4 linked regions of the Notamacropus eugenii genome follow. The protein of the gene in region 1 binds, or shares a complex with, the protein of each later gene. Links are inferred from orthologs where the notes say so. Each region holds a gene or a part of one and is shown on either strand. Other genes may lie near its edges.

Region 1 (6,932 bases):
GATTTGCATCATGGGTACAAATAGGGAGGAAGCAATGGTCAGGTAAAAGGTTAGAAAAACATTAAGTATACCAACCAACATGAGTGGACAGTGTTTTAAGGTTAGAAAAGTGATTACCAAAAGACTTAAAAGGCAGAGTGAGTTTTGGCTCTCCACTGACTATAAAGAAAATTCAGCAAAGGTTTTTGAGTTAAATCATCAAAAAGAATCTTAGAGAATATTTAATGAAATGTCCTAACACACACCACATCCCTGAGGTCATCATTCAGCTTTTGCTCAGGAGTTTAGTATATTAATAAGACAATGTTGATAAATAATAACACTCTAGTTTTGAACATCTCTACTTGTGAAAAAAGTTCGCCCTTAGAAAGTGTTGAATCTGATGATTTAAGCTTCTGAAACCCACTGACCTTCCTCCTGACTTCTACAGTCATAATCTCTCTTCCAGATGAATATGTGAAAGGCTATCATGTTACATAATTCCACCTCATCTTTTTTTTTTTTTTTTGAGTCAGTCAACGAACATGTGTTAAGTACTATGTTGCCAGGCACTATACTAAACCCTGGGAATAAAAAGAAAGGTAAGAGACAACACCTGCTCTCAAAGAGCTCACAATGAGGGAGATTACGCATAAATAACTGGACACCCAGTTTGAGAGTCTGAAAGGCAGTTAAAATTTTGAGACTGAAAGTCAGCAGTAGTTAGGGCTAGATAAATAGATCATAAGCAATAAGTTAATTGGATTCACAGAAACTGATGAAATCACCATCATAATAGCCCTTCACATCATGAAATAGTAAAGAGGAAGGGGAGAAGAGTAACTGGGACAGTGTTGTGGGACACCCACAGTTAGTAGGCACAAACTGGATAATGACCCAGTCAAGAAGACTGAGAAGCAGCTGTCAGAAGAGATAATCAACAATGTCAGTGGCTGCAAAGAGGTCAAGAAGGATGAGAATTGAGGAAAAAAACATTAGATTTGATAACTAAGAGACGTTAGTAACTTTGAAGAGAGCATTTGAGGTTGAATAAGATCAGAAGATAGACAGATGAATAAATAAAATAAAGAGAGAAGACAGAGTTAAGAAGTGAGAGAAAAGGAAGTGGAGGCTTTATTGTTGATGACCTTCTCAAGGAGTTTAGCCACAAGAGGCAGGATAAACCTCCCATTCTTTTCAAGGATTTCTCATATGCTGTTTTTCAAATTCCCTCACTATCTTTGAATGACCACACTAAAAACAGTGTAATTCTAGTAAGATTAATTTGGTGGCAAAGAGAGCCCAGAGGAATCTGAGATAAGGAAACCAGTCAGGAGGCTATTAAAACAATCTCAAAATAAGGGGGGGAACACCTAGCAGTGAAAATGGAAAGGAAAAAACTTGTTTCATTTTGTATATTTAAAAGTATATTTTCTGTAAGTATAAAAGTATGTTTCTATATTTCAAAGTCAGAAGTGCTTCACTGGAGGTAATCCTTGGTTCTTGAGGGATATGCCAGCACAAGCTCTGGCCAAGTTAAAGAAAGTTTTGATTACAGGTAAATTACAAATGTTGTGAATGGACCAAACTAGTTAAGTATGGAAAAGCAGATCATGAATAAGTTGACCACTAGTTGGTGAAATCTTTGGACATGATAAAAAACAAGAACAAAAACAGACCTAATTTTCTGTAGCTCCCTTCAAAAGGTCCAGAGAGAGCCCTGTGGGATATCCAAAGGGTGTGGAATAAGGATGGAAAAGGAAAGATAGAGGGGGTCCTAATAATCATAGTTTTTAGAACATTTAATTAGATGCTACTGAAAGAACTAAACCATAATAGCACTAAAACTATTGCTTTAATACAGGCCTGTACAACATGTGGCCTGTGGGCTGCTTGTAGCATGTCAAAGGATTTCAGGTAGCCCACAAAAAATGTAGAGGAAAACATCCTTTATACGCAAAGGAAATCCTTTGGCATATGCAGCCCACAGGTTGTGCAGGCCTGCTTTAATAAAACCACAAGAGGCAAAAGAAATTGCTGCTAAATGGAAGGATGAAGAAAACAAAGATCCATTGTGCAAATCTAAAGCAATGCGAAGGCTCAAGAGCACCACTACCACCACCAAAAAAAACCCCAAACAAACCAAGAAACACAACATATTTTTAAAGGATGAAGGGAAATTCTACAAAAAACATGACAAAGTCCTTCAAATTACATCTTTAAAATACCTCCTATTGATAGCATAAGGCCTTTTAGATTACAGAATATTACAATCTCCAAAGAACCACAGTAAAATGGAGAGATGTAAGATGAACATAAATAGGATAAAACTTTATTGACTATTTTTTAAAAAGGTTATTAAACAGAATAATAACAATAAGGAAAAGGGGTGATCATGCTTCAAACTGTGTAAGAGAAAGAAATATTTGTTTGGAAAAAAGTTGGTGTTCTCCTTACCCTGATTTCTATATTCCTTGACTTTAAGTTAAATCGTATTTGAAGACCCAGATGTTCTACAACAGGTGTAAATATTTTCATCCAGTTCTCTTTTAATGGAGTGTATCTGTTGGCAGGCACTGGAATTTTCCTCATTTCACCTTTGCCACCCTAAAATAAAGATGCACAATTACGAAATAAGAGAAAGTTGATCCCCTTATCTCTTTCATGGAACAAAAACTAAACATCACATTTTTATGCAGTAAATAAATAAAACCACTAAAGCCTATTCCTGACTCCAGGGGTCATGGAAGTTGTATTGGGTTCCTGAATGTTTCAACTACCAAAGTTCTCTGCAGCTTCTACCACCACCAGGCTTGTGCCTGGGTTCCAAAAATACACTGTCATCCGAGGACCATTATGCATGTGCAAGTCACTAAACTAGGTGGTGGAAAAAAGAGGTTTTTAAGTGACATAGTCCCTACCTTCCAGCAGTTTACAGCATGACAGATAAATGTAATACAAAGTGAAATCAGGGAGAAAAGTCAATACGCCGCCACCCCTCTATTGATGCAGGTCAACCCTTTCTGTACAACTTACAGCCTCAGAGAGTGACCTAGATCACTAAGAGGTTAAGTGGCAAGCCCAGTGCCACCCGTTCAGAGCAGAGACTTGAACTCAAGTTTTCCAGATTACAGAGACCAGCTCTATCCATTGTGCAGTGTTGCCTCCAGGCTCCCCCATCCCAGAGAGCATCCCCCGCCGCCCACATTTCTCTGTCCAGCAACTCTGAGAGGGCAACCAGTTAATGCCACAGATTACTGCCTCTTTCCTTCTCGTTCATTCCCCTGCAAATCTATCTAATTGTATTACAACGGACTGAAAATAATTCAGGTCACTACACAAAAAAATAAAACAAAGGGCAACAAACTCCACAGATACTTCATCTCGGAAGGTGTTGCAACTTCTCTGCGGACAGCTAAAGAAACAGCCACGAAACTTCACTCAGGCTTCCCCTCATCTCGGTCAGTACTCGGATCCACCGGGGACCCCGGCGCTTCAGAGCTCTGAGCCAGGGATTCTCCTCCTTCGTGTCGCGGGCCCCTCTCTCAGACTAAAGGACACCAACTGCCTCGTCTCCCCAGCCCGACCTCCGTCCCCCGCCCCGCCCCCTCCAGACCGTACCGAGAAAGCGTCCCCAGACAACGGAGGAAAAACCGGCTTCTTGTGCGGCCGGGGCCCCTCGCTATCCATCTGGCCACCGCCGTCGCGGCCCTCCGGCTGCTGCTCCTCCGCTCGCCGCTTTCTGCCCCGTTTGCCGGTCGTGCGAGAAATCTTGGTGAAACCGTCCCCGTCCTCCGCCGCGCTCTGCGTTTCCATCGCCGCTTCCATGACTCCCCACAGGGAACGGCTACTGCAGAGGTTTCCGGTTCTCGCACGTGCAATGGGACAAGGCGCAGGCGCGCGTCGAAGACCCAACACGTCCCTTACGTCACTGGATAGCTCCACCTCCTTTTGGCCCTTAGCAGGCTGGCTGACGTTGTGCCTAAGTCTTTCCATCTCTTCAGCAGCCGAAGTTTTGATGTGAGCCGCGCGGAATCTCTTTATCCGGAGTGCAAGGAAGTCATGGAAAGAATAAGAGAGGAAACTTTCGGTCTGAAGCTGCGGACTGTCGCAATAACTATCAGGCATTGATAAGGACAACTAAATGAACTTTCTCTGTGGGGGGCAGTGAGAGGAATGCGGAGTACGGCAAGCGGGAGGGCCAAACGGTTTCTTGTGTGGACAGTGCGTAGCGAAGACTCGTTGCCCAGTTGGCTACGACGCGGTTAACAGCGGGGCACCTGGACCCGTCCTGCCATGACGGCTTTCGAGAAGCCTCAGATCATCGCGCACATCCAGAAGAGCCTCAACTACACGGTGTTTGACTGCAAGTGGGTGCCCTGCAGTGCCAAATTCGTGACTCTGGGCAACTATGCCCGGGGCACCGGCGTCATCCAGATCTACGAAATCCAGCACGGGGACGTGACGCTGCTGCGGGAGGTGGGTGCCGCCGGCCGGGCCTCCCCCCGCCCTCGGCGCTGCCCCCCGGCCCCGACTGACCCCGTCCCCCGTTGTGGGTCTCCCGAACTTCCAAGAGGGACGGCCGCTCAGTCAATAAATATCGGTTAAGCCGTGCGGGTCCTCGGGCTGAGTGCAGGGGACACAAAACGAAGCGAACCGTTAAAGTCTATTGCGGGGAGAAGGCGTGCCGAGCGTGTAAACAAAGCCAGAACTAAGGGTCGGGGAAGGCTGCCTGTGGAAGGTGGGATTGTGGTTGTGATGTAAAGGAAGCCGGAGAAGTGGGGGAGGGGGGGGGCGATTCCAGGCGTGGAGGACAGCCAGAGAAAACGCCCCCTAACGAGATGGAGAGTCTGCTTTGGGGAACAGCCAGGGGGAGTCGAAGAGTTCACGTTAAGGAGGAAGACTTAAGAAGACTGGAAAGGTGGGAGAAGGGCAGGTTGGGAAAGGCTTTGAATGCCAAACAGTAGATTTTATGTTTGCTCCAGGAGGCAATAGGAAACCACTGGAGTGAATATTGAGTAGAGAAGTGATGTGATCGCACCTGCATTTTAGGAAACACGTTTTAGTGGCTTGGGGGCAGCGAGGTGGTGCAGTGGATAGAGCACCAGTGGAGGAGTCAGGAGGGCCTGAGTTCAAATCTCACCTCAGACCCTTGACACTCACTAGCTGAGTGACTTTGGGCAAGTCACTTAACCCCAACTGCCTCATCCTGGGTCATCTCCGGTCATCCTGATGAATATCTGGTCACTGGAATCAGATGGCTCTGGAAGAGAAGTGAGGCTGGTGACCTACACAGCCTTCCCTCACTCAAAACAAAGTCAAGTGCAAGTCATGTCATCATTTCTCTGATGGCATGGTCTTCTTTTTAGTGGCTTAGGATGAATTTGGGGAGAGATTTGAGGCAGACTCAACAACAGGCGATTGCAGTAATTCAGATATGAAGTGTTGAGAGTCCGCACTAGACTGGTGCCCGTGTCAGGAGAAAAGGGGGGGTGTATTGGAGAGATGTTGCAAAGGTGAAGTGGACAGGGCTTGGCCACAGCTCAGATATGGGAGGGGAGCTGGTAGTGCAGGGTGACTCCTAGGTGGGATTGGGAGGATGGTATTGCCCACTGCAGTACTAGGAGGCAGGGAAGGGGGGAAATGAGGTAGAGGTAGGAAATAATGCGTTCAGTTTTGAACATGTTGAGTTTAAGAGGTCTAATACATCTAGTTGGAAATGTTTGAAAGGCAGTTGGAAAAGCTAGATTGGAGGTCAGCAGAGAGGTTAGGGCAAGTTCAGTAGATTTGAGAGTCTACTGGGATGGGTAGGAGGACAAACTGGAGAGATTGGAGCCTTAAAAAGCTAGAGAAAAGAGGGTAACCATCAGATTCAAAGGTTGCAGAGAGATTGAGAAGAATAAGAAAGAGAATTAAGGAAAAAACCATTGAATTTAGCATTTAAGGCAGGAGGGCAGAAGAGATCAAGGACCAATAATGAAAGAGAATGGAAGGATCCAGTGAGGGTTTTTTGGTTTGTGTTTTTTTAGGAAAGAGTCACAGGTATGTTTATAAGTAATAGGGAAGAAGCCAGTGAAAAGGAGAGATTGAAAATAAGTGATAGAGTAGGGATGACAGAGGAAGCAATCAGTTAGAGAAGACATCTAGGCAATATGAAATGAGAAAGAGGGTTAAAGAAGGAGCAAACGGTCTCAATTTTTCTGTAACATATGAGGCAAGGTTCTCAGCTAATAGAGTGAGGGGACAGGGAACTATGAAAGGCATGAGGAGGGATAAAAAGGTTTGGAAGAGTCACTGTGGAGAATGAGATAGTGAGTTGTTGAGGATTGCCTGGCAGCAGTGCGGGCCTAGTTGAGGTTATGTAACATAAATATACAGTGGATCCAGTCAGAACTGTTATATGATTTTCTCCACCCTCATTCTCTTCACATGTGTAGGAGTGAAGATGGTAGAGGGTGGGAGTAATCTAAGGCTGAGGCTTGGCAGGGCATAATTAACAATATGATAAAGGAGCTAAGGACTCAGAAGGGCATTATTGGGTTGAACTGATTCACCGAAGGGTCAGGATGGGGAAAAGAGGATAGAGAGTGACTAGTGTAAGGAGATAGCCTGGGAAAAGATTGAGCAGTCAAAAGACTGGAGATCAAGATGCGGAAAAAATAGGACTGGCTAAGGGAAGGCAGGAGAAGAAATGGAAAGCCAATAGATTATCATCAAATAAGTGGGTTTCTAAATTCTTGAACACTGAAGGGGTGCATTTGTGAGTGATAAAATCAAGAGTGTATGGCTCTGTATGGTTGAAGTAGGGAGTTGGAGTGGGTCATGGAAAGTGAGTAGATTGAGAAACCAACAGGCTAGGGTATTTGAGGAAGAATTAATATGTATGTTGACATCCTCTAATATGAGGGCAGGAGTTGGGGAAGAAAGCTAAGTTGTGAGCCTTGTACTGAATT
Region 2 (6,204 bases), on another chromosome or scaffold:
TGTTAAAATGGACTGGATATGTACCAACTCTCATGACATCTGTGGTCTATTCCAAAATCCCAGTCTTACAAAAGTCGTGTGTGGCGAGGCTAAGTACGTCACTAATCTTTTGGGGTTAATAGCGTGGAATACAATGATAGCTTCGTCATCATGACTGCTGACCGTCGAATAACATAAAAACTTCTTGTGTTTTGGTCAAAAAATGTATCTGCCTTTCATCTTTGGGCTAGGATATAAATACCTCTTTTCTTCCCATGTAGGGGCTTCAAGCTTCTGTATGAATGTAATATTTGATTATACTAGCTAGAGTAAAAGAATGAAGAGTTGAGGGTATGGGTGAAAGTACAACTTAAGCTTCTAACCAGACTCAGCAGCCCCACCCACTAGGAAAGAAATGAGGTTGAATGGACAGAACCAAGGTGGAACTATGGTTAGTATGAGAATTGGGGAGGGAGAAGGAAGGGAGGCAAGAGAACAGATCAAAGTAATGTAACTGGGTGGTTAGAAAACAAGGCAGGGGTCAGGTATTTTCACATTTTATTTGCCACAGTGCAGGTAACCCACAGTCTTTCCCTACTTTATTCTCTCCCCAACCAAGGAGGTCAAACCTTTCCCATAGACCCTGCCTTGGCAGCCTGGGCACGCTGGAACTCCTGCTGCAACTGAGCCAGAGCTTCACGTTGTTTTTCAGATTGCTTCTCCAGATCTCGGAGCTGAGATTCATATCGTTTACTAAAGAGAAATAGGAAAAACACAAAAAGATAATCATGCTAGCTGCTTCACAAGTTTGTCGGGGGAAAAAAGGGCTTAAGACAATTGTACAGCGGTACATTAGTGAGCTATTGAGGGGTCAACATGACTTACTACTGGGGAACAGATGGAATTAAAAGGGAGACAAAAAAAGAAGAAAAGTTGAAGTATATGTGACAATGAAACGAAAACAACATCACATTAACATAAGATACAGTCAAATGTGGTGGTGGGGCAGGAAGGGAGGATAATACTTACATCTCTGCTGTGATATAGTCCAGTCGCTTGCCCACAGTAGCTCGGGCCTCCCCCAGTTCCTGTTTGACCAACACTGGGCCCAGAAGCTTAAACACCACATTGGATCCATCCAATAATGCTAACTCCTGGGGATGGAGAGAAACAGTTGGAGACACAAAATGCCTGGAAGTGCCTCATGGCTCCTGGACACCTCCAAACCTGGTCCCTCACCTCTTTTACGATGTTATTTTCTGTCAGTTGTGCCTCCAGTTTCTGTCGACTAGACATAGATTTACTCAAGTCTGGGGTGGGAAGAAATGGGAAAAGAAAAAAATAAAGAAAAACTGAATGAAAATCTGATAACCTGAAACACCCTCAGTCCCAATAAATCAAAGAGAGTCGTGTCGTGGGTAGGGTCTGGCGTGGATGAAGTCACAAACACTAATGATGAAGCCATTTTAAACAACAGATCAAAATTTATACACAAAGCACTTATTTCCTCCCTCTCTGCACCACCACGGCCTGCGAATGGAGGGCAGGAATGACAATGCCCATTTTACAGATGAGGAAAACAAGGCCTGGAGAGGGGAGATGACACAACAGCCAGCACTTAAGAATCTTTTTGTAATACTCCCTTCAGAAGGAGGGAATTTGGACCCAGGCTGGGTGGCACATAGGGGTCCCGTGGGAGGCTTCCCTGAATGGCTAGCAGAGAAGCACCGGGTCTGGGTGGGCGTGTGCCGAGGCAGCTCCGAGCCCCTCCTCACTCACCCTTTTGGAGCTGCTGGTACTTCTCCAATTCCCCCTGGAGCTTTTTCTGAATCACCTCCGCCATGGCTTGGAGAAGGGCCCGGGAATCTCAGGAAGGAGGCGTGGGAGAGTGTCACTCCACAACCGGCAGCCTGGAGGCCCGCCTCGGCCGCTACACGCGCTCCTAACCCTCCTGACCCGAAGAAAGATCCTGAGCCACACACAGCGGTCCTGCACTTTCCCCTAGCACAGCTCCGGAACCCGGAGGTAGATAGGGGATGCTGGGAAAACAAGAGGCACATGGCAAATGACGGGCGGAAAAAGGACAACGTAGGCACAGGGTACGCCGGGAAATGTAGTCCTAACATCCAGACCAGGCCGCCGGAAAGATCGGCTCCTCGAACGGATTCGGCGGCGGAACATGAGCCTCAAGAAAATACAAGGCAACGCTGTTGTCGATTCTTGAAGTCCTCCCTGGCTCTCCACTTTCATCCTTCATTTCTCATCTATTACCGACACGTCATGATCGCCGCGCCGGTGTCCGACATCTCCGCCAGAGGATACAACTTTACCCAACGTGGCTTCCGGAAGACAGCTGTCTTGGATTGGTGGCTAGTCTTCGGGCTCCGCCCACTCCAACTACGACTTCCGGTGTCTTCCTTCAGTTGATGGTGGGACCGTGGAGTGGCCTTTGCACGTGGGTTTTGGAGGAGTTTTGGGACCGAGGCGCATGGAAGAGGCTCCAAAGTCGGGCAGCGGGGCCCGGGTCAAGGCCCAGGGCAAGAAACAGGTATGGTGTGCCTCTGCCCCTTGTCCCGGCGGGGCAAGCGGGAGGGACCAAGGACGACCCGAGCCGGTGGGCCATCCCATTTCTTCTTGGTTGTGAGTGGCAGCACTCATGTTATTAGTCTAAATCCATAATTCTTAATTTTGTTGATGTCGTGGGCTGCTTTGCAGTCTGCTGTTATTTAGAAAAGTATTTTAATGGCATAGAGCAAAATTCATGACATCCGGCAAAATATTAAAAATCAAATTGATGGTCTAGTAGTAGATGGGCTTCTTTATTAGCGCGATGAATACTAATACAATACTTTTAAAATATAAGCAAGTTGAAGTGAAATTTTGTTTTTTAAAGATATATCAGTGTGAAGGCTGTTATTGCTGAACTTGACTAAGAAGTTAAATTATTGGGTTGTCTTTCACAAGACAACAGGCTTGTCATTTTGGATATCCGTGTGGATTTTGGTTTTTTGTCTTGATGGTTACAAGCGTTTTAGAAGCCATATTCACAAATTTGTGTTATTGCAAATGGAATTAAAGTTTCTACTGCTTGCATTATAAAGGGAAGGTAGCCTAATCTCAAGTAACACTAGAATTCATTTTTTGGTATAGTATTTAAGTGGCTTTTTTTGGGGGGGGCTAAATCTGTGTAGATATCAGTAGTTCACATTTTTTGGTAAGTGAAGTGTGTAAGACATACAACAAATTGTATGACAAGTAAGTAAAATGAGACAGGTTTTACAATTTATTCAAAGTTTTAGCACTTTTCAGTCTTCAATGCCCAGGCGTCATGTCTTTACTTGACATAGTTTGGGTGTGGGGTGAGAAAGAGTCTGGCCTGCAAAAATCTTGCTGTCCCCTGCTCATCCCTACCTCGTTTTTTCCAGAAACCTCGACGCTACTGGGAAGGGGAAACTGATGGAGCCAATTCCCTCCCATCCGACCCTTTCACTGCCCCTGCCCCTGCCAGGGGGACCAAGAGGAATAGGGAAGACTGGTCCCAGTCCAGGGGTGTCAGGGTACCTAAGAGGTCAAAGCAGAACCAGAAGCATCTGAGATCCAAGCAGAACCAGAAGCATCTGAGGTCGAAGCAGAACCAGAAGCATCTGAGGCCAAACAATAAACAAGAGCTGAGACCAAGTCAGACCTTATCTGGGGTAAGATTCAGGTTGGGAAACAGGGAGCCTTGATCCTTGGGTCAGTAGGTAAAACTAAGAGGATCTCGTCAGCCCTCAACCAGTCTTCCTCTCATGCCCCTGTCACTTTCTGAGGTGTTTTGATATGGATTTTGTGGATGGAGGGGAAAGAGCAGGATCTCTCTGTAGAATTAAGGTAGCAGGTCAAAGTGAGAGTAAACAAAAGGTCTGGAGAGGAATGGGAAGGAATTTGGAGGAAAGAATGAAGTGGTGGGACCATTAGAATGCCTCATTAGCCTAAATTTACACTTAAATAGCGGTTCACCCAGAAAAGTAGATCTTGGGTTTCAAAGTACTCTGTAAATGTGAGGCATTGTAACAGTAAAAGCATGAGGGAGGAGGAAGGGATACCATCTCTGATGCAAAACTTCATCTTATCACCTCTAGGCTCAGGATCCATTCCCAGGGCCAGCCCCACTCTCAGAGGCTGCTATAAATAAGTTCCGAAGAGGCAGTTCTAAATTGGTGAAGGTAAGAAGGCAAATTGGGGAGGAGCAGCAGAGGGTCTTAATGTCCATCCAGTGATTGAGAAAGAAGACCTGAAGTTGACAGTCTTTCATCACTCACCTGTGACCTTTTATTTTCCCATTCTTCATTGTTGATTCACCAGTTATTGAGAAGGAAGAGTTAGGGTTCTCAGTCCTCTGATTTGTAACCTATGACCTTTGATTCATCATTCTCTCAGAAGCATCCCCTTAAGTTGGTGACTGAGCACAAACTCAAGGCAGCTGCTGATGAAGAAGAGGAAACAAGTGTCCGTGCAGCCCGGGCCGAATTATTGCTGTCTGAGGAGCCTGGGTAAGTGAGCTATTCTTGCTTGGCATCTTCTTGTTCCACTTTCAGAGGTCAGTAACCACAGCCCCTGGGATCTAACCTGTGTTGTGGTTGTCCCCTATCTCCCTCTCCATCCCCTTCTCATACCCAGCATTCTCAGTTCTGCTGAACTCTGTCCTAGTGAACTTTTCAATGAGCCCTCATTCTTCACAGATTCCTTGAGGGAGAGGCAGGGGAAGACACAGCTACAATCCGCCAGGCTGACATTGTAGAGGCTGTGGACATTGCAAGTGCGGCTAAGGTGAGGTTGAAGGCTGGGAAGGAACTGATGATGATGATGTGGAGAAGACAGCTATATCATGATGAGTGGGTGGGAGGATTTCCAGGCTTGGCTGACCTCCTGCATGTCTCTGTACTTAGCACAGTGCTTGGCACATGGTAGGTGCTATATACGTGCTTATTCCCTTTCCCTTTCCTTCATAATGTAGCATTTTGACCTGAACTTGTACCAGTTTGGACCCTACAGGATCAATTACTCACGGACTGGAAGGTGAGGGACTTTCTCCAGTTTGCATAGTGAACCTTTCTCACAATGTTCTTTTCCAGCACAATGCTTGGCACATAGTAGGTGCTTAATAAATATTGATTGATTGATTTTCTCATCCAAGGGCAGTGAGGTCTCTTTGTCAGTAACACTCTGCTGCCTTCACTCACTGTCTTTTTCTGGGTGGGGGAGAGAGATTTAAGGTATCAATAACTGTATGCATATATTCTTTTGACCAAATATCTGTGTCCTCCTTTTTTGGGGGGTGGGGGGGGAGCGCAAAGCAGAGCTCTAGGTACTAAGGGTTCCTAACACTAGGATATCTGTTTTTCTCTTCCACCAGACACCTTGCCCTGGGTGGCCGGAGAGGTCATGTGGCCACATTTGACTGGATAACAAAGAAATTAATGTGTGAAATCAACGTCATGGAAGCTGTGAGGGACATACGGTCAGTGGGATCCAGGGCCATCATTGAGTGGGTGAGGCTCACTGACCTTATGAGGGTCTCAGGGAGGTTGAGTACCTGACTCATCTTGAGGTCATTTTATGGTTTGTTCTGTGATTCTTGACTCCAGTTTCCTGCACTCTGAGACATTGTTTGCAGTTGCTCAGAAACGCTGGCTTCATGTCTATGATAATCAAGGGATAGAGCTCCACTGTGTCCGAAGGTGTGATCGTATCACAAGACTTGAGTTCCTGCCCTTCCACTTCCTGTTGGTCACAGCTGTGAGTCATGCTCAGGAACTAGGAGAAATTGATTAACCTTGGGAAATGACCTCTCCAACTGTGGAGCAGGAGATGTTTGGCAGAAAGTCTGGTAAAGGGTGTGGATTGGTGTCAGGGTGATGAGGGTGGGAAGAGGCCTTGGTTGTAACTCTCTGTCTCATTTTCTCCACCGTCCAGTCAGAGACAGGGTTCCTTACCTACTTGGATGTGTCTGTCGGCAAGATTGTAGCCTCTCTGGCAGCTCGGGCTGGACGTCTGGATGTGATGACCCAGAATCCCCACAATGCAGTCATCCATCTTGGCCATAGCAATGGTTAGTAAATGTTACGTCCTGACCCATTGCTGCTTTATGTCCTAGGACCCTCTGACCTCCCTTGCTTTTTTCCCTATCCATTCCATAGACCTAGTGGTCAAAGCTGGAAACACTCCTTAGAAATTATTTAGCTC
Region 3 (7,870 bases), on another chromosome or scaffold:
GAACGGTCTGAGGGTACAGCCCCAACAAAGTACAGACTTCCCCTCAACCTCAACTCTTCCTTATTCCCCCAGACCTCTCACCTGTGCTCATTCAACTCCATTTCCAGCTCAGCTGCTTTGGATGCCAGGCCTCTCTGTTCTTGCCGAAGGCGGTTGAAGCCAGCAACCACCTAGGGGAGAAGAGATGAAGTGAGGGAGAAAACTCTACGGAAGATAGCAAGAGCAGGCTCCTTAGGTGGTCACCTAAATGTTGAGAAAAGTACAAATTGGGTCCCAATTTGGCCCTGTTTATCCCTGTCTAAAGTAGTCTTCCCTCAAGGGATGATTTCTACCAAAGAAAATACAGGGCAATGGCCAGGACAAGTACTTATACTGGTACACGTTAGGAGAGCAAATACAGATGGACCCTCCACATATAGCTGTTCTCTGGGCTTTTGCTCTTTGTACCTACTATTTAGGGCTGAGACTATAAACTAGAAGAGAAAGAGTAGCCCAAATCCCGACCTAATCATTAATTCAGTGCCAAATCTATTCTTCCCTATAATCTTTCTGAACAAGACCTCCTTCCTTCTGTACTTTCACATCCAGAGAATGGAACAGTTACTACCTTAGCCGTACAGAATTCCTTACTTCTGGTGCCTCACTCACTATACAGTATATCAGTATTTGCTTCACCTCTATTTAAACTCCTCCAGTGGCTTCTGCTGCTCAATAAAATTACCTTGTACTTGGTCACTCTACTTCTGGTCTCTCAACATTCAAATTCATCCTTCACACAGCTGCCAATGAGATTTTCTAAAGTTCAGTTGTGACAACGTGGCACACTCCTACCCTCATTCAATAATGCCTCTTTTTAGCATTTAAAGCCCTTCATAATCTGGCCCCATCCTACCTTTCCAGCCTTACTGTACATTATTCCCCTCCATATACTCTTATAATCCAGCCAAACTGGCCTTCTTGGTGCTCATCACGTAACACTGTTCCCTTTCTCCATGCCTTTGCACTAGCTGTCTCCCATGCCTGGAAAACACTCTCTACTCACTCCCCACTTTTGGAATCCAAGTTTACTTGAAGGTTCAGCTCAATCATCATCTACTGCATAATGTCTTTCTTTATGCCCTTAATTCCTTGTACCTTACTTCCCCAAGGTTTCTTATATCAACATATATAAGTATATGCTGTCAACTTGTTAGAACAGAAATTTGAATTGTTTGACTTTTGTTGAATCTCTAGCTTCTGGCACAGTGTCTGACACATAGTAGATGCTTAACAAATAATGACTGATCAACTTGAACTCCAACAACATCCAAGCGACTCCTGTATGAATGCAAATGATGGAACCTACTTAGGAGGAGATTCACCTGAAAAGATAGAAGTTTCCTGAGCACACACTCAAAATGTATTACTTTGTGAAATAAAATCAATCCCTGAATCCCTGAGGTTAAAACAACTAAGGGGAATTAGATATTTAAAAAACAAAATTACTCTTGTTAACTGAAGGCCAGCGATGCTTCTAGGTTAGAGGTGAATTTTGAATCCAATGCCGCACCAAAGTGAATCCATTTAAATCTGTTAGAGAATTTTGCCATTTCTGTATAGAAAGATAAAACTTTTACCAGCTACCCAAAATCTTAGCTGCAAAGTTAAGAAGCAAAATAATCCAACACTAGCTCTCATGGGAATGCAAAATACTGCTCCCAGAAATCCTATCTACAAATTACTTATTGTTTTTTTTCCTTTTCCTGTCCAAATGTTTATGTATAATTCTCTATTTCTCTTTTCCTTATACCATACTGTTCTCATGTTTTCTGGCATGGCCAGAGATGACCAGATCCAAATGAGTATATACATGAAACATATATACATACAGGAGAAATGGAAGTTCTCCCAGAAGGAAGAGGGGAGGGAAGGCAGGGAAAAACTTCCAGCAAAAGGTGGAATTTGAACTGAGTCTTGGAAGCAGCCAGGAAAGTTAGAAAGTGGAGGTAATGAGGTGGAGCATTCTAAGTGAGGGGCAGAAGATAGACCAGCAAGAAGGCCCATGTCCCAGAATGCCAGACTACATGGAAAAGTTAGGAGGGGGGGCCAGGTTTCAAAAGACTTTAAAAGCCACAGACAACATATTAAATTTTATATTTGATATTATAGGAAGCCAATGGACTTTACTGAGCAGGGAATTTGACTGCCATGGTCATGCCAGTGTTTAAGAATATTCACTTGCAAGCTTTTTTAAAAAGGAAAAGAAGAAAGTGCAAGTCACATATTACACTGCGCCCGTGGTCAGGCACAGTACAATTTCGCGGTCCTCCAAGAACAGGGATCTTGGAACACAACCCTGCAGGGCTCAGGCGGTGGAAGTCGCTCCGGCTCGGCTCTCAGGTCAATCCTGCAGCCCCGCAGGAGGGGCGGGCCTGGAGCTCAGGCTAGCCAGGGCCGGGGCACCTCAAGGCACTTCCCCAGGCTGGTGGATTTCAGACCTCATACGGCTCTTTCACAGGGAGGGGTCTGCTCCCCCGCTCAGTCACAGAAAACTGGGGAGACTCCGGCGATCGGCGTCTTCCGGGCTCCTAGTCACGGATGGGGCCCCCAAGCTCCCGTCACGAGGGGCTCCCCCACCCTGAGCTCCCCGTCGTGTCCACACTCACCCCCCGTCTCCCCTCCGCACAGGGGGCCCCAGACGAGCCCGGGCTGCGGCAGGGGGCACCGCACGTGCCACGGGCCCCGCTCCGCGGCCCCCAACAGGAGCCGGGGCGGCGTACCGGCAGCTAAGCTCACCTGCTCCGCTGACACCGCCCCCTTGCCCGCGCCGCTGCTGCCGCTGCTGCCGCTACCACCGCTCTTGTTGGCCCGGTTGCCACTCTCCGCCATCTTCACCCGCCCGCTAGCTTGGGCCCTAGAAGCCCAGGGCTCGCCTCCCGGTGCGTCACATCCGGACGTCTCCGTCCCAGACTCCTCCGGATCCTGATGCTTCGAGAGCCATCTTGGTTAGGGGCACTTCCGTCGGGGGGGGGGGAGGGGAGGGCCCTGACATTTCCGGGTGCCCTATGGCCTCAAAGCTTCAAGACCTTTGGGCTCGAGGCGCGAGGAGGAGCTGCGGACACCAGTCTCCAGGGCTCCAGCTCCATGTAGGATCCTGGTCTGGGGCTTCCTCTGCTTGCACCAGGGCGTCCCTCCCCGGGAGGATGGGGGAGGAAGGAAAGGTGGAGCGGGGGCAGGGGCCGGGGGCCGGAGAGTGAGTGCACGCGTGGAACGCGGCGGGCATCGCTATCTTGCCCTCAGGGATTCCCGGCATCGGGAGGGAGAGACTTGTCCTACGTCAGTAAGTGACCTATGCCCTCCGAAGAGAGAGCGGAAGGCGAGCAGCGGGCCGTGCCCCCACCTGCCGGGGCTTGGCGGCCCGCGGCTAGGAGGCTACGAGAGGGGCGGGGCGGGAGGGCGGGACTGGTCACGTGCCTTGTGGGCAGCGAAGGGGCGAGAGGACCCCCGAACCTTTCTCTTCCAGGCTGAGCTCCACCCTCGGGCTGCCAAGAAAGTGCCCGTTCCTGCTGCGCTCTGCCTTCAGGCTGCCTGGCATCTCCCTCCTCAGTGACCAGGCGGGCACTGGGCGCAGCAGGTAAAGCCCACGGCCTCTCCTCGAGGTGGGAGCGGGCAAAGGGAAGACCCGCTATCTGCACATCTAGCTCTTCCTAGTTTACCAAGCACTTCATTTAACCCCCCGCCCGCGGAGGCCCAGGAAGGATGAGGGACTGCTTAAGGTTACGTAGGGGCACTGTCAGGACAAGAGCTGGAGCTAGTTGAGCCTTGTCTAATGTGTTTGCTGGTTTTCCTGGTGTGTCAGAGGCCAGAGATCATGTATGGAGAAGATGCCCGGTTCTCTTTTGAGCTCTCACTTTCTCCATTTGGGGACGCCTGGATCTTGCTCTTCACAGGCCTGGGACCATGGCCGGCTCCTCTCCTCGAGGTTTGCCCCTGGTAGCGGTGTGCCAGGTGACGTCCACGCCGGATAAGGAACAGACATTTGCAGCCTGTTCAGGATTGGTTCAGGAGGCTGCCAGGTTGGGTGCCTGCCTGGTCTTCCTGCCCGAGGCCTTCGACTTCATTGGTCGGGACTCAGCGGAGACACTTAGGCTGGCGGAGCCATTGGGTGGGGATCTTGTAAATCGGTATGCCCAACTTGCCAGGTATGAAAGGCAGCAAAGGAGCATTGTGGGTGAGTAGGCTCCGCTGACTGTGGTGGAGACGGGGTTCCGAGAAGGGTTGTTTGTTGCTTTCTCTACAGGGAATGTGGTATCTGGCTATCTCTGGGTGGTTTTCACGAACGTGGCCAACACTGGGAGCAGAGTCAGCGGATTTATAATTGTCACGTTCTCTTGGACAAGGAGGGTAAGACTTTGTCCCCAACTCCCTCTCAGTCCTCTCCTGCCCTTTTGAGTTGCATTCCTAGAATCCTGTTTTCAGCATCCAACCTCACTCCCTCCACCTTCCTTGCCCAGAGTGCTTGGAAACAATTTACCAAGCCTTCAAGGCCATTTACCAGTTAGATTTCCTCTGCTCCCTCTTGTTCCTCCTCCTCTTCCTCCCACACCCCCAAAACACATACACCTTGTGGACATAATGTTTGTGCCTCTGGTTCATAAGAAGTTCCCTCTCTGGGGTCTGGGGGATATAAAATCATCAGCAGAGTATTCCTCTTCTACTCCCAAGGCTCTATTGTGGCCACGTATAGGAAGACACACCTCTGTGATGTGAAGCTTCCAGGACAGGGACCCATGTGTGAGAGCACCTCTACTATACCAGGGCCCACTCTGGGGTCCCCTGTCAGTACACCAGCTGGCAAGGTTGGCAGGGAGGGAGGGGAGGAAGTTAAAGTGGGGAAAAGGAATGGGAATATGTAGAAGGGGGCAAAATGACAGTGGAATACTATATCAGAGTGGCCAGCACCAGATAAGCTAAGTATTCTACTTTCCTCCATCCCAGGTAGGTCTGGCAATCTGCTATGACCTACGTTTTCCAGAGCTTTCCCTTGCACTGGCCCAGGATGGTGCTGAAATTCTCACCTACCCTTCAGCCTTTGGCTCAGTTACGGGACCAGCCCATTGGGAGGTAAGGACCTACCAATATTTAGTACCTACGTATTCAACTGAACAGAAATGCTGTATTTCTTTCTTGACTCCCTCTGACTGTCTCTCAGGACTGAGTGGGGGAATCCTTGCTTCCAAAGGTCACTGCTCTAACTCCCTATTTCTCTCCTCCAGATGCTGAAGCTGATTTCATCCACTCTTGTTCCCCCCCACCAGGTGCTGCTCCGAGCTCGGGCCATTGAGACACAGTGCTATGTAGTTGCAGCAGCACAGTGGGGACAGCACCATGAAAAAAGAGGGAGTTATGGACACAGTATGGTGGTGGACCCCTGGGGCATCGTGATAGCACGCTGTTCTGAGGGGCAAGGCCTCTGCCTTGCCCACATTGACCTGGCCTATCTCCACCAGATACGCCAGCGTATGCCTGTGGCCCAGCACCGAAGACCTGACTTGTATGGTAATTTGGGTCGCCCAGACCCCTGACACCTGCTGACTGAACTGGGTCCTGTTCTGGGCCAGTGAGGATCTGTGGCTTGGAGGCAGGACCCCAGGCCGCTGATGAGCCTCTACTCCCTTTCCTTTACGGCATACAGGTTCAGCCTGTTGTAAAGCCCCAAAAAAATGCTTTTATGGGCTCAAACTTTAGTTACATATAGATGGGCTCTTAAATCACAATTATGAAAACTAAATCTACACCAAGGTCTAAGCACTAACAATGAAAAAAATACAGTCCTGAAGTCCAAGTCTCGACATCTCTTTTGAGGGTAAGGGGAACAATGTAGCATCAAACGTACTAGACAATAGTAACAAGTAGGGCCCGTTCATAACTCTTCAAAATGAATGCACAAATTAGTTTTTATCCCAGCCCGGTCCTAGGATTGAGAAGGAACTGTGGCAATTCAAGCACTGAAGCCCAGGAAGGGAAAGGCTATACTGAGACAGACAAAGCTCAAGGGGACATCCCAGCTCCGAGTCCACCCCAAGCCAAACGACAAATGAGATGGGAATGGGCTGCAGGATACGTTTATTTTCACTTGAACATGGAAGGAAAAATGCCACACGCCCCTTTCTCAGGGAGTGTGTGCTCCCAGCAACCCTTCTCCCCATCCTGCATACACACAGGCACTTGTGCACAGCGCACACAGACAAGGGGTTCTTGGGTGGCCCCAGGCCTCCCCTCTCACTGCTTCCTAGAAGAGGAGCAGACAGGGTAAATGAGGGACCCAGACTAGGAAGAGCCCCTAATCTCTGTCCCTGGGAGATGGGGGGAGAAGAAGGGAAGCACCAGGGCCAGGAGTGAACAAGTGAGGAGGCCATACCTTTACAAGTGTTATTCTCAGAAGGGCGGAGGGAATGTGCTGGTAAATTCCCATGATACAACCCTGGCTCTTACCTCTTCAGCAAGCTCCCACACCACAGCCCTTTGGTTTCTCAGACAAAACAAAACATAACTAGCCCTCATGAAGCTGGAGGGCAATTGAGAGAGCCTCCTATTGACCCCCCCCCAAACAACTTCAGCAGCGGTTCCACAGAGGGCTCTGACATCAGACTGCTGCTTCCTTCCTTGCCCAGGCTTGTGGCAGTCTGGGTGGAAGAGGGGGAGGGAGACACACCACTTCCACTTTTTTGTCTTTTCCTTTAAAAAAGAAGGGGAGGGGGAGCAAAGGTGACAGGAGGGGTGTGGAGAAAACCCCAAACAGTGTGTGAACTCCAGAGATGGGTGCCGAGCTGAGGACCCAGATTTGTGAAAGGTGAGAGGAGGGTCAGGGCAGTGCCTGCAACATCAAGTTCCTCAGGAGTTTCTGTCGGCCCAGCTCATAGTCCTCCTCATCCACATTCACCAGCAGCTTGATAGCCTCATGGCCCACAGCCTGTTTAAGTGAGTCTGTGATGAAGACACCTTTGAGCGCCTCCAGGAGGGAGCCGTTGATGTAGTCGCGCCAAAAGGCATCGAGGTAGGTGAGCTCAGAGAACTTGATGTCACAGATGATGGAACCCAGGTCCCGGGATTTGAGGATGGTATTGGCCTGGTTGAAACGCTCAAACTGGCGTTCAAGTGGGTCCTGCTTATTTGAGAAGACGTTGCCCTGCAGAGCTGTCTCATGCTGGCAGTATTCAGCCCTCACCCGAAGCCTGATGTCTACAGGAAAGAAAAGGTGAGTGCTTAGGCCATACCCTGTTAGAAAAGTGACAGGGGTGGCAGACCAAGGCACTACAGTAAGGTGGTAGTTACCCTTCTCCAGGGTAGAGTTCCGCTATGACTTCTCTATACTTGTCTCATCTTGGCATTTCCTTTACATACTCTGAATTTGTTTGAGCCCATGCTTGGGCCAAGAGGAAAAGGTCGTGAAGGGAAAGAGTTCTTAGTAATAGGGCACAGTAAAAACATATCGCCTCCAAATCAAACTTCATTTGGGGACATGGGGGTGAGCTTTTTCTATATTAAACAGACTTAGCCTCAATTGCATAAATTTAACTCCTTTTCTCCACCTTGGACAAGAAGAAAGTTAGCAGGGAGAGCCTCTTGAGAATCATTCCAAAAGGACAGCAGGACCACGTCAAGGCAAAGGGGCAGTACCTCAACCACTTTCATGTTCCCCTCTGTCAGGAAAAAAAGTAGTCTGCCTTTTGGAGAGTAATTCCACTCCCACTAGCTCCCTGCCTGGGCTGCACTAAGCAGAGCCTCCCTTACCGCATGTCTGTTTCTCCTTGGGGTCTGGTGTCACGGACTTCCGGCGCTTTCGTTGACTTACAAGTGTCGCTCTCCCTCGAGCTGGCCGTTTGATGCA
Region 4 (7,151 bases), on another chromosome or scaffold:
CTCTGTAGCCTCTTATCCAGGACCGGCCTGGTTTACACCACCTCCCTCCCTCCCCCTACGACCGACCGAAGCCTGCCCCGGCCCAGAGCAGCCCGGAGCCGGCCCAGAGCACCACCGGGATAGAAGAACCGGGGTCTGGCTGACGTTATCGATCACGTGGTAAGGGAAGGCCGAAGGGGCGGGACCCGTGAGTCAGAGCAACCAAGCCGCCACCAAAGGGCGGGACCAACTAGAGTGGCAAATCTAAAGCCACTAAGGAGACAGATTGTGCGCCTGCGCAGAAAAAGGCCCAGCGCAGCTAGATGAATTTCTTCAGTCTGCGCCCACCGAGGTGGGAGGGGGGGGGGGGGGAAGGAGGCGGAGGAAAGGGGCCAGCTCGAACACAACCATAAGAACAAACAGGAAGAGAACAGAGACCGTGGCTCTGCGACTGCAGAGAAGATAATGGTAGGGAGGAAGGCTGCCCCATCTCCATGGCAACAAACATTCTCCCCTCCCCAGCCTCATTCCCAGCTTTTATTAAAGGGATTTCTGATTTCAAGTAACAAGAGTTGGAGCCTCAGTAGCAGTCTTCTTAGGGAAAGGAAATTCTCAGCATCCTAATCAGTGTCCTGGATGATCTGGCAGCTCTTGTAGCCCCTGCAGCTCCCGAAGGCCCTTCGAGGGAAGAGAGTACATAGGATCGGAAGTTAGGTTCTAAAATAAGCTTTCCACTGACACACCTTCCACCCTCCTGCCCTTCTTACCTCCAGCACCAATCGGATGTGGGCTTTGATCCGAGCTGAATCTCGGGTGAGGTTGTCACTTAGCCTGGAAAAAGATAGCTAGACTTAAGGAGGGAATAGCATGCTCGCTCAATTTGGTATGAAAATCTATCTTACACGACAGTAGGGGAGAAGGAGATAAGGGGGGCGGGGAATGATAGAAGGGAGGGCAAATGGGAAGAGGGAATAATTAGAAGTAAACACTTTCCGGAAGGGACAAAGTCAAGAGAGAATAGAAGAAATGGGGGGCAGGATAGGATGGAGGGAAACATAGTCTTACACAATATGACTATTATGGAAGTCATATACCCTATACTGAATTGCTTGCCTTCTCAGTGGGGATGGGTGGAGAGGGAGGAAGGGAGAGAAGCTGGAACTCAAAGTTTTAAGAACAAATATTGACAATCCATTTTTGCATGTAACTGGCAAATAAATACAGGTAATGGGGTACAGAAATCTATCTTGCCCTACAAGAAAAGAGAGAAGATGGAGATAAGGGAAGAGAGGGGTGTAATAGAAGGGAGGGCAGATTTGGGGAAGGGGTAATCAGAATGCACGGTGTTTTGGGGTGGGGGAGGGGAGAGATGGGGAGAAAATTTGGAACTTAAAATTTTGTGGAAATGAATGTTGAAAACTAAAAATAAATAAGCCGTTAAAAAAAAATAAAGATGGCCAGAGCTCGTCAGAGACCCTTTCCCTTTCCCCCTCACTCCTGTTCCCCTCAAACCCTGGAAAACCTACGAGGTGAGCAGGCGGCTTTTCCGATCAATGAACCTCAAGGCCTCCATCAATGTCAGCTCCAGGAAGAAGCCGTGGCCGAGGGCCACAAATATCCGGGAAGGGTCTGGCCTGGAAGACAGAGGCATTTCTCAAGGGGCTCTCTATGAACCTCGTGGCCCCTCTGGGGCTTCTCTGCATTTGGGATGGTCTCTGAGTTCTGGGATTAGGAGGTGGGGTGTTCCTTATGGAGTAAGGGGTTTTTAAGCCAGAGTCTGTGAACTTCAAAAAAACAAACAATAAAAAACCCTGGCTACCTGAAATGGAATGGAACTGATCTCCTTGGAGTCCATATATTCTATTTCATGCACTTAACAACTATGCTGGGGGCAGGGGCCCATAGGCTTCCTTCCACACTGCTCCAGGGTCGATCTAGGGTGATCCACTGATGAGGGGGGGACTCACACTTCGGCATTCACGAAGAAGTTACACCCCAAATCCACCTGTGTGTGCAGCCTCTGATCCCCCGATTCCTGCGGGAGGGGGGGTGCTTAGAGGGCGGGCCAGGCCGTCCCAGGGCCCAAGGGAGGGGCTCCCGGGCGCCCCGCCCCGCTCACCTGGAGCCGCTCCAGGACGTTCTTCAGCTGCAGGTAAGCGGCCAGCTGTCCGTACACTTCCTCCCGCTGCGCCAGGACCTGTCTGGGGTGGGGGGCAGAAGGGGTGTCTAGGCCCCGCCCGCTGCCGCCCCCCGCAGGCCCCACGCCCCCTCGCATTTACCTTAGGTCTCGCTGCAGGACGTCGCTGACGAAGGTTTCATACTGCAGGACCTTTGCCTGGACCCCCCGCGGTGCCGTCGCCATGCTGGCCACCCGCATCCTCCCACCCCCTTAGCCCAGGCCCCTCGCCACTCAATCCAGTTCAGCCAGCCGCGCCAGCAAAGACCCGCTTCTGACTTCCGGGGGTGAGCCGCAAGGGGAATGCATCACTTCCTGGCGGTTCTGCGTCACTTCCTGCCGCGTACTCCCCGCCCCTTGGGTCACGTGTTTGGTTGCGTGGCCTTGCACTCCCAGGTGGGTGGGAGCTGCCAGGCTGAAGCATGCGCAGAAGACCTGAAGAAGCAGCTGTTTCTGCTGGCCCCCGAGATCCGGGAGACTCGTCTCGTGACCTTCCGGTTTCGAGACTTTGCGCGGCTTTGGCCCCGCCCTTGAAATTCTCTGGCCCGCGGGCTGTCAGTAAGACAGCAAGCATTCAGGAAGCGCTTACTCTGTGCCAGGCATAAAAAAGCATCTTGGCTTCCCTCTCTGCCTTGCGGCCTGCCCTAGGCCTTCCCCCCTCAGATTGCCTGCCATTGACTACACTTTGTACTGACCTATTTGGTAAGACTGGGACCTCCTTAGGACCAGGAAGCCACCTTGAGGGTGACCTTGGGGACCCAGACTCCGGCACTGCTTGCTCTCCGCCTACACACACACCCACCCCATACAACAATTCTGGCATTAAAAAATACTGACATCTTTGAGGCTGGTTAATACCACCAACATTTCTTCTACTATCTACTCCCAGAGAGCCAACCCATACAGAAAATAATGTTTGCTAAAGAGGGAAAATCAGCAAATCTGATCAGTGTAGAAAAAAGTCTAAAACAAAAAAAAAATCTCTACCCTGTACCATTCACAATTCCACAGATAACACATATAGATCTTTCTTTTTTTACTTATGTTTATAACATATTTGTATGTGTGTATATATACCCAGAGAGCATACAAAGCAGTTTTGGATTAGATCAGATAGGGCAGTCGGCAGAAGTCACTTTTAGTATGAAAAATGTTGACCTGAAAACTTGGTTTAAAAAAAGAAGGCAACAGGCTAAATGCATACATTTTATGATTTAATTAATTAATTAATCAATTCCCTATTAAAGACAATGGCACCATAATGCATTATGGAGCCAGAAATGTTCTGGCTACCAATACAAAGAATTGGGCGGCCTTAAATATGTTTTAGGACAAAGAAGTGTTCTGTGTCCTTCAGATTTATGATCTCCATAAGTGACTAACAAGACCATTAGAAAGAAATTTCTTAATTGCATAGGCTGTAAATACAATAAGATAACAGAGTTTGACAAAGTTTCACATAGAAATTATGACCCAAGATGTCTATATTTTCTTTACCACTAATATGCCATAACAAACATAGTATATGTCTATAGATAATAAGATCTAGTGTCTTAGGTTAAAGGTCTCCTAAGGAGTGTAGAGTCAGCCTTGGCTGGCTTTTGCTGACATAGGAAGAAGCATTCTCTGAGTTTGTTTCAGAGAGAACAAAGAGATTATTCCAAAATTTTACATTAAACATTATCAAAATTAAAAGAATGCTTAATGTATTAGCATGTGTTTGTACATGGTTGCCAAAGAAGACCATGCCATCAAAGAAATAACATGACTTCCACTTGACTTTGCTCTGAGTGAGGGAGGGCTGTGCAGGTCACCATCCTCACTGCTCCTCCAGAGTCATCTGAATCCAGTGACCAGATATTCATCAGGATGACTGGAGATGACCCAGGATGAGGAAATGGGGGTTAAGTGACTTGCCCAAGGTCACAAAGCTAGTGAGTGTCAAGTGTCTGAGGTGAGATTTGAACTCAGGTCCTCCTGACTCCTGCACTGATGCTCTAGCCACTGCACCACCTAGCTGCCCCAACATATTAGGATAGCTATTTACATCAGACCAAAGCAAACAGTATCTTCTTTATCAGTCACTTAATGAACATTTGTTAAGCTCCTACAAGCTTTATTAGATTGGAGAAGGAGACGAGTTCTTAGAAATATTCAAATGAATTCTCTTTTGTAATCATAAAGTGGTTGGGGGAAGGGAATTACTGAAAAAGACATTCAGTGTCTCACAGAAAAAGAAAGAAACATACCAGCAAATACAGCACAAACTAGTCAGTTAGTTGGATGCCACCTGTGCTTGTTCTTTACAGAGAATTTTCATTTTTGATTGTTCTATGACTCCTTCTACTTACATTGTTGCAGCTCACTTTCCTCGGCATCAGTTCATGGAGATCTTTCCACACTTCTCTATTTTCATCACTTTTATCATTTCTTACAACAGAGTAACACTCCATGCCAATTCATGGACCACCATAAATGTAGTTATTCTCTAATGGATGAGCATCCACTTTGTTTTCTTATGGGAATAGCCAGTGGTTCCTTGACCTGCTGCCAGTCTTGCTTTTCAACAAGCAGAGAACTAGGAGATAAAATCAAGGTTTATTTTATATGCTTCAGCATAGGTCCAGAACTCAAAAATCTCTCTCAATCAGGAACAAAGTGTAGATTTAAAAGTTTAGATTTCCTAAAGTTTACACAGTTTCTAATCTCATCAGAGACACAAAGAAAAGAATACAATTTTGCATTACAGTGGCTACAAAGAGAAAGGAATCACTGATAAGAGAAAGAAAAGATTTACATGACAAAGATTATGCTGACGTGATTTGTATTTCAAAGATAACTGAAGAAGACAATCACATTAGAGCTAGTTCATCAAAAAATCACTAATGAGGGAAAAATCTGGGATTGGGGTAGCATGAATTCTTTTATTCCCATATTTTTTTTTTATGTAGATCAAAATAATTGGGAGTCTTATGAAAATCTCAGCCAGCTACATGACTTTCCTTCTAATTAAAGTGGCTTAAATAATACTGGAGAGAAAGGAATAAAAAATTCTTACAACTCCTTATGGTCATAGAAGGAAATGAAATGTCTCTCTGTAACCATATTCTCATACATTCTGTCAATCTCCTTTCTAGATGTCTCAGCATCAGTGTTATGGCAAACATTTCCACAGGCAGATAAAATATTGGACAACACTGAATACAACAGCAAAACAAAACCAATACACGAACAAATATGGGCATCATATCATAATTTCCTTAATCCAGCTTTTTCCTGACAACCAACCCAAATAGCCATTTAAACAACATATTTCTTATTCTGTTATCATGGGTTTAACCGTCCCATAAAGTCATCTGATTCTGGGAAACATTTTCCCTAGGAAAGTCTGTGCTCATGTGGTTTGTCCTAGACCAGCATTTACAAAGTTCAGACATTCATTTCAAATATTCTGATTTCCTTAAGTAGGCTGTCAGTTTTTAACTAGCAGGAATAGATCTGCTTCCCAAGTTCCAAGTCACTTGCAGAGAGGTAGTGCTGCTCAAGTCTGCTTGTTTTGTGTCCTTCATTTTCTTTTTTTTTTATTATTATTTTTTAATGTTTAACAATCACTGCCATACAATTGAGATTTTATCCCCCCCACACCTACCCCCCACTACCCCCCTCCCTCCCCACGACTGCATACAATTCTGTATAGGTTCTACATATACTTTCCTATTGAGTATATTTTCACTATAGTCATGCTATGTAGTCAGACTAAAATAAATGAAAGAAATCATATAACAAATCAAAACATGATACACAAACACATACACATACACAAACATGATCTGCTACATTTTGTGAATGACTTCCATATTTCTTTTTCTGAGTGTGGAAGGCATTTTGCCTTGAGTGTCCTTCATTTTCAAACAGTACCAGCGACATCATAGGGTAATGTCTTGACTAGTTCATGAACTGGATTAAAGTGAAGCAGAGCTGCACAAAGTTGTCAGCCTCACTCTTTCTTCCAGAGCCATCAAAGTCCAGTGACAGGACAAAAGTCAGGACAATTGGTGAAGGGCTAGGAACACAATGGATGACGTAGATGTCCCACCAAGCCCTAAGCGCTCAACAATGGCTGCTTGAGCCACCTTCATGGCTGTTAGAACAAACTCTTCTCATCAGCCTATTCTGCCAACAGAAGTCTTTACATGCTTGGGACAGACATTCCCCTAACTCACCAATGGGTTTTGAGGCCTGTAGGTTACCTTCAACCTGGTTTTACTGGGCTGTGGCTGCTGTATCTGCTATAACTTCTTGGAGCCACAAGTGAGAGTTGAATGCCAGGTGGATATCAAAGGTAGATAAGTAGTCCTGAAAAGGACTGGACAAGCGCTCACACCAGAGGTTAGTCCTCCCTGAACATTCACACACCCCTGGAAAATGTTGTCCATAAACTACAGGAGAAATTGGATTTTGCAACACAAGGCTCTTTTTGTCTCTTGATAATCAGAGAAACTTCAAACAGAAAAAAAATTAATCTTTCATTTAACAATAGCTCATAAAATAAGATGCAAAATGGGTTTAGAATTTTTTTTGAGGTTCAAGCTTTAATAAAAAAAATTAACTACCATATCTGTGAGAAACATACCTACTCGAAACAAAGAACAATATTTGTTGTGAAATCAGGAAAGCTTTTATTATTTTTTACGTTCTTTCCCTCCTAATGGACGGCTATACTTACTTCATACAAATGCACCGTTTATATGGCCAGCTTTCAATTTGAATTTCCCGCCTGCCCCCCATAGTTCAGCATTCCAGGGTTCACACATTCCTCATTTTCTTTATAGAATGACATGTTATAAATTCTTTTAAAGGAATTCCCTTAATTGATTAAGAGACCAAACCCAGGATGTTTTAGGCTCCTTCCCCATTTACATAAGAAAGTAATTAAATTCTTCAAGTTGTGGATTTTATCTATAGAGTAGTTTGTCCTAAGACATGTTAATAAGCA

What was found.
Region 2: DNAAF10 (region 1) and PFDN6 share a complex: the UniProt entries of both Homo sapiens proteins name them as parts of the PAQosome complex. The link is inferred for Notamacropus eugenii from reciprocal best matches to the Homo sapiens genes DNAAF10 and PFDN6.
Region 3: DNAAF10 (region 1) and PFDN2 share a complex: the UniProt entries of both Homo sapiens proteins name them as parts of the PAQosome complex. The link is inferred for Notamacropus eugenii from reciprocal best matches to the Homo sapiens genes DNAAF10 and PFDN2.
Region 4: DNAAF10 (region 1) and UXT share a complex: the UniProt entries of both Homo sapiens proteins name them as parts of the PAQosome complex. The link is inferred for Notamacropus eugenii from reciprocal best matches to the Homo sapiens genes DNAAF10 and UXT.

Annotation. Positions count from the first base shown.
Region 1 is NC_092872.1:635,459,011-635,465,942, forward strand, and holds the start of DNAAF10 (dynein axonemal assembly factor 10), read left to right. Parts: upstream 1-3,927; 5' UTR 3,928-4,275; coding exon 4,276-4,458; intron 4,459-6,932. Other genes in the region: RNA-binding protein PNO1, read right to left, coding at 2,437-2,586, 3,601-3,807. UniProt on the Homo sapiens protein: Key assembly factor specifically required for the stability of axonemal dynein heavy chains in cytoplasm.
Region 2 is NC_092873.1:89,315,086-89,321,289, reverse strand, and holds PFDN6 (prefoldin subunit 6), read right to left. Parts: upstream 2,096-6,204; 5' UTR 1,823-2,095; coding exon 1,759-1,822; intron 1,290-1,758; coding exon 1,219-1,289; intron 1,134-1,218; coding exon 1,009-1,133; intron 733-1,008; coding exon 603-732; 3' UTR 521-602; downstream 1-520. Other genes in the region: WDR46 (WD repeat-containing protein 46), read left to right, coding at 2,468-2,527, 3,405-3,674, 4,101-4,184, 4,399-4,511, 4,701-4,788, 4,976-5,037, 5,375-5,479, 5,607-5,757 and 1 more. UniProt on the Homo sapiens protein: Binds specifically to cytosolic chaperonin (c-CPN) and transfers target proteins to it. Binds to nascent polypeptide chain and promotes folding in an environment in which there are many competing pathways for nonnative proteins.
Region 3 is NC_092873.1:267,547,265-267,555,134, forward strand, and holds the start of PFDN2 (prefoldin subunit 2), read right to left. Parts: upstream 2,965-7,870; 5' UTR 2,869-2,964; coding exon 2,776-2,868; intron 171-2,775; coding exon 82-170; intron 1-81. Other genes in the region: NIT1 (deaminated glutathione amidase), read left to right, coding at 2,965-3,125, 3,503-3,613, 3,930-4,181, 4,280-4,383, 4,705-4,838, 4,978-5,103, 5,256-5,564; DEDD (death effector domain-containing protein), read right to left, coding at 6,845-7,221, 7,774-7,870. UniProt on the Homo sapiens protein: Binds specifically to cytosolic chaperonin (c-CPN) and transfers target proteins to it. Binds to nascent polypeptide chain and promotes folding in an environment in which there are many competing pathways for nonnative proteins.
Region 4 is NC_092879.1:101,807,878-101,815,028, forward strand, and holds UXT (protein UXT), read right to left. Parts: upstream 2,476-7,151; 5' UTR 2,357-2,475; coding exon 2,259-2,356; intron 2,181-2,258; coding exon 2,099-2,180; intron 2,015-2,098; coding exon 1,947-2,014; intron 1,614-1,946; coding exon 1,506-1,613; intron 811-1,505; coding exon 747-810; intron 658-746; coding exon 604-657; 3' UTR 503-603; downstream 1-502. UniProt on the Homo sapiens protein: Involved in gene transcription regulation. Acts in concert with the corepressor URI1 to regulate androgen receptor AR-mediated transcription. Together with URI1, associates with chromatin to the NKX3-1 promoter region.